2 linked regions of the Saccharomyces cerevisiae S288C genome follow. The protein of the gene in region 2 interacts with the protein of the main gene of each other region in a biochemical or structural test. Each region holds a gene or a part of one and is shown on either strand. Other genes may lie near its edges.

What was found.
Region 1: the proteins of MCM10 (region 2) and MCM7 form a complex in vitro, tested with the Saccharomyces cerevisiae proteins (2 studies listed by BioGRID).

Annotation. Positions count from the first base shown.
Region 1 is NC_001134.8:624,022-630,839, reverse strand, and holds MCM7 (DNA replication licensing factor MCM7), read right to left. Parts: upstream 5,069-6,818; coding exon 2,531-5,068; downstream 1-2,530. Other genes in the region: COS111 (Cos111p), read right to left, coding at 1-1,672; MIN7 (Min7p), read left to right, coding at 6,144-6,347; DER1 (derlin), read right to left, coding at 6,629-6,818. UniProt on the Saccharomyces cerevisiae protein: Acts as a component of the MCM2-7 complex (MCM complex) which is the putative replicative helicase essential for 'once per cell cycle' DNA replication initiation and elongation in eukaryotic cells.
Region 2 is NC_001141.2:58,178-66,049, forward strand, and holds MCM10 (Mcm10p), read right to left. Parts: upstream 4,552-7,872; coding exon 2,836-4,551; downstream 1-2,835. Other genes in the region: ESL1 (Esl1p), read right to left, coding at 1-2,517; MLP2 (Mlp2p), read right to left, coding at 4,851-7,872. UniProt on the Saccharomyces cerevisiae protein: Required for DNA synthesis. Required for entry into or completion of S phase. Involved in DNA replication and seems to participate in the activation of the pre-replication complex (pre-RC) and in transcription elongation.

The DNA of each region.
Region 1 (6,818 bases), on a different chromosome or scaffold from region 2:
GACACAGGTTCAGCATATGTAAAATATAACCTAGGGGCAGATCTTTATAAGGAGCGTACTTTAAAAGAAATTTGTTGGCATACGGATGATGCGTACTAAATGGTTGTTCAATGCTAAATTTTAATGTCGAAGAACGATAATTGGATGGATGCCCCGAATCGTGCTTTAAAACTTTAAAGTCATCGTCAGACTTATCCTTCGAGTTCTTTAAATTAATCGTATTAGCTGTCCTTGCCTTTCTATTTCTTGAACTTAACCTCATTCTAAACCAGGAAGATGACGTAATGTCAGATATAGGTTTTGCTTTCTGAGGAGATGACCTTGTGGACTTCGCAGAAGCTTTTTTCAATGATCCAGCAGTGGAAACTCTTGACAGATTACTACCAGAAGAGATGTTACCATTGCTGGTATTAGACGTGGTTGAAGACAATGAGACATGGGAGGTGTTATAGATGGATGACATGATACTCGTCGTTATGGAAGCAACGGAACTATTGGAACGTTGTCTCCTTGTAGAGTGAACACCGGTGGAATTTCCAGAAGATGTAGAAGTGATAGAAGAAGAACGAGAAACCACTTTTTTCAGTTTAAAGCTGTTCAACAGAGGAGAGCTATAAAGGGGTTCATTTCTGTATCTCCAGTCTCTCCAACCAGCTAATGCCAAGTCTTCAACTTCACTGCCATTTGAAGCGTCGTCTTTGATTAATCCGCTATTGGCATCATCCTCGTTAGAAATGGTAGATGTTGGAGTAGCTGGAGGTAGATTCAAACTTGTGTTAGTAGATCTGCGGCGACGGCGTCTGTGACGCCTTGAGTGGCCATCATCGTCTAGGCCTTGAGAATCCTTCGAGTCTTGGCCTATAATTCCCGGCTTCAAGTGTGATAGGTCCAATACTTTCACGTATGCCCCGTTATCCGGATGTAATCTTAGTGAGGTGACAAACTGCGCCACTCTGTAAGTGGAAGTGAAGTAAGGTAGCCTATAAAGGACGATCTTTGTCGCCTTATAAAACTTCTTCGATACGTATAGACATCTTACGAGTGTCTTTTGATCACGACCTAACTCGAATTCAGAAAGTATTTTGGCAATTATTTCAACTGGTAAATCGTTGATATCGGCAAATTTGCCCCAAGCATGGTATTTTCTCTTCCTCAGCTTTTCAAATCTGGAATTTTCATGTTTACCAGAATGGGAAGTCTTCAGAGAAAATATAGAAAATGAGTCGGATGAAGCACCATGATCGTACAATTTATTCATAAATTTTTTTGAAGAGGTGGAGATTAAGGATTTATACTTTTTTTTAATCCTTGATTTCCTTGAATTCATCGTTATGATAGTTTCATTATCTAAAGATGTGACGTCGTCACTGCGTCTCTGACCTATGGAAGCCAAATCATCAGGAGCGCTGGATTGATTTTGATTGCTGAGTGGAGATTTGAACGTCGATAAGGGTGATTGACTCATTGATCTGGAGCAATTTGAGCCATGACGCTGTTTGCTCCTGGACTTTTGTGAGATAGATGACAGTTTACCAACTGTGGTAGAATTCTTACCAGCATTATTGCTACCACTGCCGTTACTATGATACAACTTATCGTAAACGGAAGTTCCGTAACGAGAATAGTTGTTAGAAACAATATTGACGTTTTGAAGTCTTGAAGCACTTGACATCAATACACTCGACCTTGTTTAGTGTACCTTTTTTTCTTTCTCCTTTTCCCCTCTTGCTTCGAGTGTCTATATAGTTCCTCCCCGCAAATATTCTTCAGCTAAAAATACTATCGTCCGGGATTTTCAAGAATAAAAAAATATCTTCAAATATAATCTAGTAAACGGAATAAAATAGGACTACCGTACTGAGCGGACAGGTTTGTAAAGGTTATATTAGTTTGAGAGTGGGACTATATATATATAGACTATATAAATATATATATATATATACTTATATTTTTGACAGTAGGGATGGAGATCGATGAATGTTGCCTTCACATGTTAATGAATGAAAAAAATTTTACTGTCTGCGGGTCCCCTAAAAGTCCTCTTGGCGATAACAGAATGGGTGCCGGCAGGTATCTCAAATTCGGATTATTATCAAGCGCTACGAATTATTCTGAGAACAATCTTTTCATTTTCTGGAAGAACTCCGCACGGTGTACTCTCTGGTATACTCAGGGGCTGACGGTACCCTGTAGCACGGCTCTCCACAGGCACATCTGAGCAATACTAGCTGGCCCTATTCCGCTTGAAGATAATTTTCCTTTCTCCGCAAAAAAAAAAAAACAAGAATTGGGCCGCGGTGCACGGACATGCGCAGTCATAATGTTAAGTCCGAAATGTGTGGGGTCTGTGGCTGGCAAAAGCGATGAATAATATTAGTAAAATTATAATAATACAGAATACATATCTTGAAAACTGGGCCTTGGAAGTAAGTTACAGAAGGTAAATTTGAATGTGCAGCTATATGGAAATGAAAAAAAGGGGGAAAAAGAATAAAGAATGAAGGCCCTGTTGCTTTTTTTTTTAGAACTTTCAAGCGTCTTGTAGATCGATATCAGAATCTTGGGCGCTCACATTAGCGGAAGCGGTCGTTTGTGGTGCGAGTTTAGGCGTGCTCACTAGTGAGTCTTCCTGGTCTGTGTCCATGGTACCGTCATCCACGAATTTCAAAGTGTTACCCTCATTAATTAAATGCCAGACGTTTAAGTAAGAATATTCTTGGATACAGTTGCTTAATTGTAGCATGGTAAACCCTCTTAGTCTTACAGTTTTCACAATATTTTCATATGATAGCGTGTTTTTACCAGTTTCTTGTAACATTTTCTTGATGATCGTAAAGATTTTCGTTGTGGGGCTTTCATCTTCTTTAGATTTGTTGGTTTCTTGATACAATGATTCCTTGGAGACTCGGACCAACCTCAAGGCTTCCTCCACATCATCTATATCCACCATATCAGCCAACCTTAACTTTGCTAGCGCTTGAGATAATCTTATAATACCTAGTAAAGTTCTCGGAGTGGCTTGACCAAAGGAAAATTTGGAATCCATTTCTCTCTTGGAGTCTTGTCTTAATCTGATGTAAGCTTGCACCACATAATCGTTTACAGCTTCACTCATCACTGGCCTCTTTGTCTTAGCATAGGCAATGTACTCTCTCATTTTAGAGGGTTCTACTGGAGTGAAGTCCAAATCCGGTTGTTTATTATGCATATGCACATATGTAACGTGCTCGGCTAATTTTTCGTCGTCATCTCTACTTGGTATATCTAACATTAAGAAGAGAATATCAAATCTGGATAGTAAAGCAGCTGGTAGATTTATATTGTCCAGAGGTGATAATCTAGGATTATATCTACCATACAACGGATTTGCTGCCGCTAAGATTGAGGTTCTGGCGTTCAAAGTTGTATTGATACCCGCCTTGGATATCGAAATTGTTTGTTGTTCCATAACTTCATGGATTGCCGTTCTGTCACTTTCATCCATCTTATCAAATTCATCGATACAACAAATACCGTTATCAGCGAGTACTAAGGCACCACCTTCTAGAATCATTTCATCCGTGACAGGATCTTTCATGACGGCAGCGGTCAGACCAACGCCTGAGGAACCCTTACCAGTGGTATACACTCCTCGAGGTGATATTTTGCAAATGGCCTTCAGCAGTTGAGATTTGGCAACACCGGGATCACCCATCAGACAAACATTGATATCACCTCTGATTTTCATACCGTCACCTACCCTTTTATCAACACCTCCGACAAGTAATAGCAGCAACGCTTTCTTTACGTCCAAGTTACCGTAGATTTCCGGTGCAATAGATTTTGCCAGCCTATTATAAACATCACCAGAGGTGATTAATTCCATAACTCTCTCTTCTACATCAGAAGTCAGACTGAAAGACGCAAATTTCTTCTTGTGTTGACGGACAAACTGTGCCTCTAAATAAGTTTCTGTCAGTAAGCCAGCTTTCAAAGCTTTGAAACCGGTGTAGGGCGCTGGCAAGAATATACCAGTTACATCGACGATATCACCAGGCGATAAAGATCTTACCAGCGTCCCGTTAACGTGGATATTTAGCGACCTAGGAATATGACCCACTGGCACTTGTTGTGATAACTCCTGAATTTTACATTCCTGAAAGGCACTAAATTTGGAAGCTCGTGTACTCATAAACAATTGACCCTTTGTTTGATTTTGGGAACATTCTTCGGAAGTACATTCTGACAACGGAGTAAAAGTACGAGAGTTGACCTCTTGGAAAACTTCGTACCCACATTGATCGCAGGTATATGCGATAACTTCCACAGCTGGTTTGACATCAGAAACTCTGGTGATAATACCTCTGACGGTAATCAATTGGCCTAGGAAGTCACCTTTAATCTGCCTAACAGATAATGGTTTAGAACTAATTGCTTTCTTCCTGTAACGACGAGCACAATTTTGCGATAGAGGCTTAAAATAAAGGAAATAGCGTCTAGTTAAATTAGGAGGAAATAACTCAGTTTCATCCTCGACAACTTCTCTTAACGCATCATTCATGGAAGAGGGTGGATCCATCGTGGTATCCATGAGGTTTTCGCTTCGGATCTCATTGGTCCTGTCCGAGAGCATTCTCTCATTCCTCAGTCTCCTTTGGTTTAAAATAACATCAAGAACGTCGTCCTTGTAGTCAATTTCTTTTGTTGGTAGCGGCATGTTGTTGTCAATGGCACGGCAAAATAATTCAGTGAAGTGATTAGCGTTTTGTTGAATGGCAGACACAAGGTCGTCTGCCTGTGTGCCCTGGAGAAACTTTTCGTTTTGATACTGTAGAATGTCATCTAAATCAATAATCACGGAATTCAGTTCCCTATTAGCCACTTTCTGTAGCATCGCCATGTACTTGGGCCCCTTTTCCAATAGATGTTGTTCGATATTCTCAGCATCCAAATTTTCATCTTCGTTCTCATTTCGTGTTGCATCAGAAGACAACGTATCCTGCTTGAAAGTCACCAAAAAATCGGTGATTTCATTAAAAAGATTATTATAGTCGACAGGAAGCTGAATTGATGGAAGTGCCGCACTCATAATCTGGTCTATCTGTATTGAGTTCTTCCTGCAAGATTCAAGCTAATCTAGGTAGTGATTATATTGCCTTTCTAAATGTAAGTTATTGGTAAAGACGTGTATGTAGCCTGCTACTGTAGTACATCTCGCTCTGGTCCTTTGCTTGTATCTCACTTTCGTGAAAAAAGAAGCAAACCGACTTAATGAATTGCATTTATTTTCCTTATAAGGAAATTTCCTTTCTGGGTAAATTAGTTAAGAAAAATTTTTTCGAGGCCGTGAAAAACGCGAAGGCTTATACAATGTATTATGAGTGAGTAATAAGTAGCATTCAAGGGTAGAAGGGGCCTCGACCTGTTATTGAGAAAATATACAAGAAGCGCTTATTATATTCGAGTAGCGGCTACGTTGACCTAGCAGGTATCCCGTGGGTAATAGTTTAAGTTATGACATTCACACCACTTTAGAATTTACTTACTCTTTTACCCTCTCTGTCTCTCGTAGGGTACATTTCTTTGTGCTTCTATTCTGTTGCTCTCAGACAAATTTGGAAGTTTTACAGTAAATTATTTTTACTCTTTTCCTTGTCGTCGTAATCAGTGAGGTATCCTGCCTGGTACCTTCCCCTCATTTTTGTACGAAGTATAAACAAAAGCACGGAAAAGGGGAAGCTAAGGAAAGTGAACACCTGTGCTTCGCATTGTTTGCTGCGATTAAAAAAGGTAATACAAAGGCAACTTTAAGCTTTTGTACCGTATCGGCCTATCATAATAGAGAGCCCGCGCACTTCCTAAGAAAGGCAGTTCGTTGCAACTCTCCGGTGGTTTCTTCGCCACTGCAAGGAAGACAATAGCTCGAGAAGGTCATTATTGTTGGAAATATGTTAATTACCATAGCAACAGCAAAATATTCCTAATTCTCAGAGTTATATAAGCAGGGTATATAATAGGCCATCTGCAAACGGACACCAAGTTTTTTTTCTTCTTTCCTCTCCTCTCCTCTCTTTTATATTCCACATTTATTCCCTGTGACAAGGCGAAAACCAAGAATTTTTTTGTAATATATAGGAAATATCACAAAAGATCGAGGACTAACAATGCTGGCCATGAAATCATTTTCACAAGTTTCTAAATCATACAAGGCAAGTGCTCCCAGTAAAAAGCTGACGACGTTGTTTTATGTTGCTTACATCACTCTGGGACTAACAACACCTTTCCTTCTACCGGCCCGAATGGCTTCTAAAGACACACACTACTACAAGGACGAATTTTGTTCTCAACGATCATACACCAGGTTTTAGAGTCTTTCGAAAATATGGGTTATCATTAGGGAGAAAATTACCGAGACTTTTTCGGCTACTTATTTATTCTGCATTTATACATTTGAGACAGGTTCTTCATATTATTTTTAGTTTGTGGGATTGCAGTTTTAACTGTACTGTTTTCACATCTTTCATTCATTCTAGTCAACGTTTCATTTATCCTTGGCCTATTTTATATGTAGTTATTTATGCTAAGTATGTTTGTTTATCAAGCGTTCACTTTTGTTATTGGTTTTTGGTAAATAAAAACGGCCTTTCCTTTAGGGTGTTTCAGTGTTGCGGAACCAGTCGTACGGAGATTTACACAAATCGATGCCATAAATCTTCCCTATTATATCATCCATGTAGTAAATTACGTGACCTGGCATGAAATTCATGGCAATTTCTAACCAGCTACGCTTATATACAAAATACATTACTGCATTCATGTAGATTGGGAATATAGATGGT
Region 2 (7,872 bases):
TTCAATTGTGTCATATAGATCATCTAATTCGTTGTTGTCGTTATAATTATCTTCGTCATATGCATCTAGCTTAAAGGTCAAATTCTTTAGGAAATAATCTGGAGGTATGTCATTTCGACGACAAAACACAGAAGCTTGAAAGCTTACTTTCAACCCCAAATCGGGAAATTTCTTGGCAATACCTTTCAAAAGTAAAACTGCTCTCACACTGCGCATCCAGAATTTTTCACCAACTTCATCTTTTTCATCAAAGACTATACCATCAAGGGGAGAATCGAAAAAAAGATGGTCTTGAACGCCAGGAATTTCCATTACATCGCACTTCTTGATAGCGTCAAACCACAATGTTCCCCAACATTTCCAAATCTCCGGAAGATTTTCATTTTCGTTATAATATTCGATCAAATCATCCAGTTCCAATGAATAAAACTTTTCCAATTCTTTTTTCAAAAAAGGGTGTAAATTATCCAGCATGTAACAAACTAATACATTACCTAAGGTCACTATTGAATTCCAAGGCATTGTCCTTCTTAAAAAATGTATCCAGAATGCTACTACTTGCTTTGAATTTACCATTTCTAATTTTTTCAAAATAGCAACTATAAAATGTAACCACGTCAAAAAGTGCGGTAAGGCAACCACTAATGGTGCATGAAGAAATTTTGTTAATACATGTATACTGCATTGTATTGACGTCATGTTGATATGATTCAAAGAATCCAGCCAAATATTGAGATTGGTTGGGATATCATTGAAACTTGAATTTAAAGCATCGATATTCTGGAAGTAGCTTTCTGAACTTATTTGAACATCGAATGGATCTGTATAGGAAGATGTTTCTGTTGCTTCGGATCTCTTTTTTTCTCTTTTATCCTTCTTTAATTTCAAATACTTAGGCAACTGAAACAATAATGCAAATGGGTTTTTAGGATTGCCAAATCCGATTAGCTGTAAAAGCTGAGATTCAGCAAATGCAGGGGCATGCCTAAAATAATAACGCAATGATTCTGGATTTTGGCAAAACATGTCTTTTGTATCGAAAACGTCATTTCCGTTAAAATCTTTACCAAACTTGTCTTTGAAGTACATAAGCACAACATGCTGTAAATCCATATTCTCCAGGAAACTAGGTAATAGCATTACTTCAGTATGCTTTAAATAATCAATTAATTGAGAATTTCTATGGGCAATTTCATTATTGTTCGCACTACCAGAACTTCTATCTATGAATGCAGATTGATAGATATTTTCAATCAATAACTGTAACGTTTGCTGAGACGGAGTGAAGGGATCCTGACAAAAAACACTTTTTCCCAAGTTTACGAACGCTTCTAAACTGTTCTGTTGAACTGTGGCAATATGATAATATAGTTTTCCGCACCCATATATGTATTTCATTGATTCGGTATACCAATATTCGGCGCTTAGCCTCCAATCTATGAATCCTGATGGGTACAGCGATATTGCCATTCTAGACAAATCACCCAATCTTTGTCTCCACAAAATAGAATATTTCAACGGTATATCCTCAAGCATATTTGAGACAGAGATGAAAGCGTATATAATAAACTGACAACATACCTCTGGGTCCATAAAGTTCGAAAAGTTCTTTAGTACATCCAAGAAGGTTATTATACCATAAACCCACAATCTTTTTTCTATTCTGTAAATATCCAAAATTTCTTGGCCCATAATCAAGTCGTTTATAGGTTGTGTAGTTAATAATGCAGTGATGATGAAATTGATGTAATTTTTGATCAGTTCTGTGTTCAGTCTGTATATTGCCCACAAACTTTTTAGTTCTGTGGTTTGAGAGGTGGTTAAATAAAGGCATCTTTGTTGTAACTCGGTTTCCTGCACCACTATGATTTTATAAATTTCCTGCAGTTTTTTAATAAACGTCTGATTTGGCTGCGCCGAAGGAAGTTGCCTTATCATCGGCGGGGGTGAAGCAGCAACTACAGGAGCTCTTCTAATATCGGATAAAGTTACTTGGCTTTGGGGTTGCGAATTGCTATAAATACCATTTGAAGCGACTAATGGCTCGTCAGCTCTCATTTGTGGATTTGCGTTATCTTCATAAGTGTCTCTAGAAACAACCTTCATATTTCGAGCAAGCATAGTTCTATTCACATAATATGGAGATTTAGGAACATCCATTGTTGGAATAGAACTGGTCTTAACTTGTGGTGTCGATTCCATAACTTTGCGAGAGATGCTCGGTCTTCTAGATGCATCATCAGTTTTGGAGGGTGTGTTTTGTGCAGAGATCTGGCTATTAGTTATTCCATCTATAAATCCTTTCCCTACGGGATCTACAATTCCAGGCACCCTTCTTTTAGCGAACGACGACTCTGGTGTATCATTGTGCGACGAAGAACTATGTCGCTTTTGATGAAGAAATGCGGCGGAGGTCGGGCGCATATCGCTCACAATATGAGTGTGGTTGTTGTTGGATCTAGAATAATCAGTTTCATTACTAGGGTCATCATTCGCCGGCACCATTAGGTCAACCATATTATGCGATATCCGTGGTCTTGTTGTTATGTATTGAACCTAAAAATAACGTTAGATGCTGCCAAAGATCGGCCAAAAACGACTGTAAAGTGAAGTAAAGAGTACAGAATGAAGGATGCGCCCAAGAGGGAGATGTTTTCGGAGCGTTTTGTGTCTCACAAGATGTTCTCTTCTGTTCTTTCTCACTTTAAGGATTGATTCCCTATATTGCAACCAAAATCACTCAATTTTTCATCATAATTTTTCAATCATTACCCGCGCCATTGTCCATCAAAAGTAATACCATTTTGGGGCCCTGAAAAGCACACCAATACTTATTTATATTATCTCAAGATCGCTGGCACTACCGTCAGAAGTTTCTTTAGTTTCCTTGGATCCGAAATGTTTTTGCCAAACTTCTTCGCGATGGCTTCTTTTCTTGAACCATTCGTTCTTTGAAGGTGCGAGAATGACTTTTTCCTTCTTGTAATGCAAGAGATCGTTTATAACAGTTTTTTTTTTACCGAGTAAGTTGTTCTTAGGTTCGCTCCCTGATACAGAAGACTTGAGTACTTGGGAAATTTTTCCATGAGTGGGATCGAATCCTAGGCGTTGGATAAGCCCTGTCTGGAGGGCACTTTCTGTGGTTCGTTTCATTTTCTGTCGCTCTCCGACGCTCTTATCTTCTAATCCGCTGGATTCCCTCCTTCTCATAATTTTGCCTAGTTCGCGGCTCAGTGCTGTCGATTTCTTAGTTTCTATTATTTTCCTTCTTTTATTGTCTAAGTTTGCCAGCATATCTGGATTCTGAAATTTCTCGTCGAAAAATGCTTTGGCAGAATTACTATTCGTAAAATTGTGAGAGCTCTTTTTAAGTCTTTCCTCCTCTTCTGACAGGCGCTTACGAGTACCTTTGATTATATTAAACCCGTTTTCCCCTTTGGCCTTATATAGGCTTGGTTGAGAGTCCACTTTCGTAGGCGCGCCCAAGGCGTACCCACCATTTAATTCAATTCTTTTAGCACTTGTTCCACGAAATTGCACTTCTCTATGGTAATCGCAACACTTATGAAGAGATATGTTAATGGGAGAGCCACATTTTTTGTGAGTCTTTTTATTCACTATGGGACACCAACCTAAATCTCTACTTGAACCTATCTCCAGGATACATTTGAAGTCATGACTAATTCGAAGGTTGAAGGATTTGATAAAATTTCCTCGCCCTGAGGGTCTCCATGGTAGTACTTCTGGGTTTAATATTGCTATCACATCACCCAGGCGAAGATTATAATATCTTTCTACACCCTTTTTCCCGAAGATATAAACATCTAGTGTATGCTGAAAGTCCGTTATGGTGAACATGAAGAATTTGACTGGCTTTTCAGATGATGTAAATTTGATGTCCGATTTGTGGCTAATGAGGCCTACGGTGGCCCAGTTGGCGTATTCAGGCTCTTGAAATTTAGGTGGGCGAATTTTAGCAAAAAGTTTGCCCAACCGAAGGATTTTGATCTCATGCAAAGCCCGTTTTAAGTCATCTTCAGGTATGTACCTCTTTTTAACCCAAAGATTTGAAAAGCTTTCTAATTCGTTTGTGATTATCGGCACATATTTCTTCTCATCGGTACTGAACGTATGTACTCTTGCATTCATCATGCTTTCAAACTTGGCAATTTGTTTATCTTCGTTCTTCTTTGCGTTTTGAAATTTCTCCATAAAGTATGTGGTTGTACTAGCTGGTGGTTTTGGTTGCTGCTGTAATTGAGATAACCTTACTTCATTAATATTCGAACCTTCGAATTTTGTGCCTTGTTGTGTAGCATTATGAGACCCCACTTTCACACGGTTTTTGGTAGGAGATTGAGGTACCTCGATGGCTTCAAAATTAGGATCCTGGGGTTTCTTAAATTCTTGCTTTCTTTTTAATCGTTCCACTAAGGCCTGCCTCTTTCGTTCCATAAATTCAAGTTCTCTCGCGATGGCTTGCTCATCCTCTTCATCAGAAGTAATATTATTGTACGGATCAACCGCTAAAATTTCACGAGGATCATTCATTTCTCCACGAACCAAGTGCTTAATGTGCGTTGAAAATGTGAGGTTGAATTGACAAACTTACGTTCCTTTATCTTCGATGGCCTATAAAGTTGATATTTCTTAGTGGTGTTAGAAAAGGTGGGTTTGCGCATCCAAGAAACCCGCGTGAAAAAAAATGGCAAATAAACCCAAAATTTGTTCATACTTAACTACTAGTACGGATGTGTCATAAATCACTTTATGTCCTCTGTAATGACATTAGTGACATTTAAAATATGTAGATGTTTCATATTTATATAATTACATTGTTTAATATTACATCACTCGTTGGAAGCTTGATCATTTGCTGGACTCTCTTTAACCTTTTTGGTGTCTGGATCAGAAGATGTACCGCTCTCAATTGGCCGTTTAGATGTACTTCCAATTTCTGTTATTTTTGCTCCATCGGTGCTATTGTTAGTTAGATCGGTTACGTTGGAAAAGTTAATCGCCGCTTTGACTGCAACTTCAGGTTGAATATTGAGTGTACGTAGGGGGGCATTCGTATTGATATTAGATTGGGATGCTGTGAATGGGTTCTGAAAACTTTGAAGAGATGATGTATTAGAGGAGAAGAATGGCTTACCAAAACTAAAGGTTGGAATGGCCTTGTTACCAGCAGCGCTACTATCCACGATATTATTTTCTTTATTTGTAACCATTGACTGGCTGTCATTGAAGGAAACGTCATTCTTCACATTCTTCAATTGTTCTTGAGGTTTAAGGTTTTTTTGATTTATAAAGCCAGCGACAGCCGACGGCCTCTCAGAATTCCCCTTCGATGGACTGTTCCATAATTCTTCTTCGGCATCTTCCCCGCTACCTTTGTTATCAAGAAACGTTAAGCTTCCCGCGTTTTCTTTCAATTTCTTTCGAAATTCTTCTTCTAATTCTTCTTTACGCTTACTAATGATCTTTTGTATCCTTTCCTCGCTTGGTAACCTTATTCTTTTCTTTAAATTCTCTTCTGCTTCCTTAATTCTCCTTAACGTTTCATCTTCATATTCCTTTAGCCATTCCTTTTTCAATGTTTCGATATCTTTACTGTATTCTGCTTCTGAGCTTGTACTCTTATTTAAGGTCTCTTGTAATTTTTTTTCAAATTCCTTCGTTCTTTCGTCAATAATTCTGTCCTTTTCTTTCTCCATGTTAACTTTCAATTTCTCAAATGCATCAGATGAGCTATTCGCAGTTTTGAAAATTTGTAACTCCTTTTTGAGTGATTCAATTTCCTCCATTAATGTCCGATAAGTGTCCTTTTCGTGATCTCTCGAGACGTCTTCTGATTGGAGTTCATGTGCTTTGAGCTTCGTATCTAGATCAATAACTTTAGCGTTTTCAAAGTGTAGATCTTGTTCTAATTTGTCTTTAATTGCTTTTAATTCGTTGAGTTCGTTAGTTAAAGCAGCTTGTTGTTTCTTAGATGCGTCCAATTTTTCATGAGCCTGCTTCTTTAGCCTATTGAATTTATTTTCCAAGTCAGCGTTTGCGTTCTCAGCGCTTGAAAGTTTTCCCTTCAAATCACTAATCTCATTAGTTAGCTTTTCAATGTCTTTTTTTTGGGCATCTTTTTGTTGTTGAGATAAGTCCTGGTACCTCTGTTTACATTGCTCCATTTCACTTTCATATACTAAAATTTTGTTAGAATTTATCGAAACTTGTTCTTTTGTTTGTATGAGATCACGCTGTAATCGAGAAATTTCTTCTTGCCTATCATTTAATTGTTTATAAATTTCCCTGTTTTTTTCGGTTACGTTTTTGAGACTCTTTTGTAAGATGGCATTATTCTCTTTTAAAATGTTAACTTGAGTAACTTCTTTCGTGATATCCTTGAATTCGTCAATAATAACTGCAGAGCATTGGTATTCCTTCTCCGATAAAGTCTGGGTTCGTTGCAGGTCATTTATCGTTTTTTCTAAACTATCGTTCTTTTGTTTAACGAATGCCAATTCTCTCTTACAGGTGGTTAACTTCGTCTCTAAAGAATTTCTTTCATGACGTAAGTTTGAAAACAAAGAAACTAGCTTCAAATGATCTTTATCGCCATTATTTGCTGCTGTGTCATCAACCTTTTCAATCAATACCGAATTTTCAACACGCAAGGATTCCGTCTGTTCAATATTAGATATCAATTCTCTTTCATAATCAGCCTTTTCCTCCATCCATTTCCTTTCATGTTTATCGAGTAAATCCTGAGCGCTATACAATGAGGATTTGGTTTTTGTTAATTCTGCTTGGCAATCAGCCGCATCCTTTTCAAGGCGGATAACCAATTCAGATAGATCTTTATTTTCCTTCATTGTGGACTGATATTGGGACATTTCTTTTTTTTTGCACAGTTGGACAATCGTACTCATTTTTTCAATTTTTTCTATCATTTTTTGGATCCTTTCTACCTCATTCCTCAACTTTTCTGATTGTTGAACGAAATGCAATGCACCTTCTTTTAGTTTCGGTTGCAAAGCTCTTATTTCACCGAGCTCTCCGCGTAAACGAGATAGATCTTCTTCCCTCGCCCATTTTTCCTTCTTCTCTAGTTCAATCTTAGCATCGTAATTTTCTTTGGTTTTTGCTAGTTCATTTTTCAATTCTATTAGCGCATTTTCATTCGATGATATAATTTCTTCATAAGCCTGTATCTGTGAGTTTGCATCCTTCAATTGAACTTGGATTTGCTCTAATTCTTTTCTCAAAGTCGGTTCTAACGTGCTTGCATCACTATTTTGATCCAAGAATTTATATTGGAATTTGGTTTTTCTTAGTTCCTTATCCAGGTTCTCTATTTCTGATGAAAGTTTTTCAATCGTTGTTTCCTTATTTGATAATTCAGTTAGTAAGGACTTCATTTTCATTTCTGTATCATCGATGGTATTTTGAGCCCATTTGAGTTGCGAATCCTTGCATGAGCGTATCGATTCTATTTCTTGTATCTTTGATTGTAAGTCGGAACGTAATCTTTCCAAATTGTTTTCCAATTCTTTGATTTTGGCTTTGTATTGGCCCTCTTTCGAGCTAAAATCCATTTTATTTTCATTATGACTGATTTCAGACTCCTTTAGTCTCATCTGCAATTCTTTTTTTTCTTTGCAGCATTGTTCGAAATCTCTAGTTAAAGATTCTTTCGTGGGTATAAAGCTGGCAGTTTCCTTTTTCAGTTTGGAAATCTCGTACTCCAAAGATTTGATTTTGATCCTAGACTGTGACAGTTCAGTTGAGGCTCTTTCTTTCTCAACATGTATGTATGATGGAACCCATGATTTTTGTTTCTCGAGTTCAGCTTTTAGGTGGTCTATTGCTTCCTCT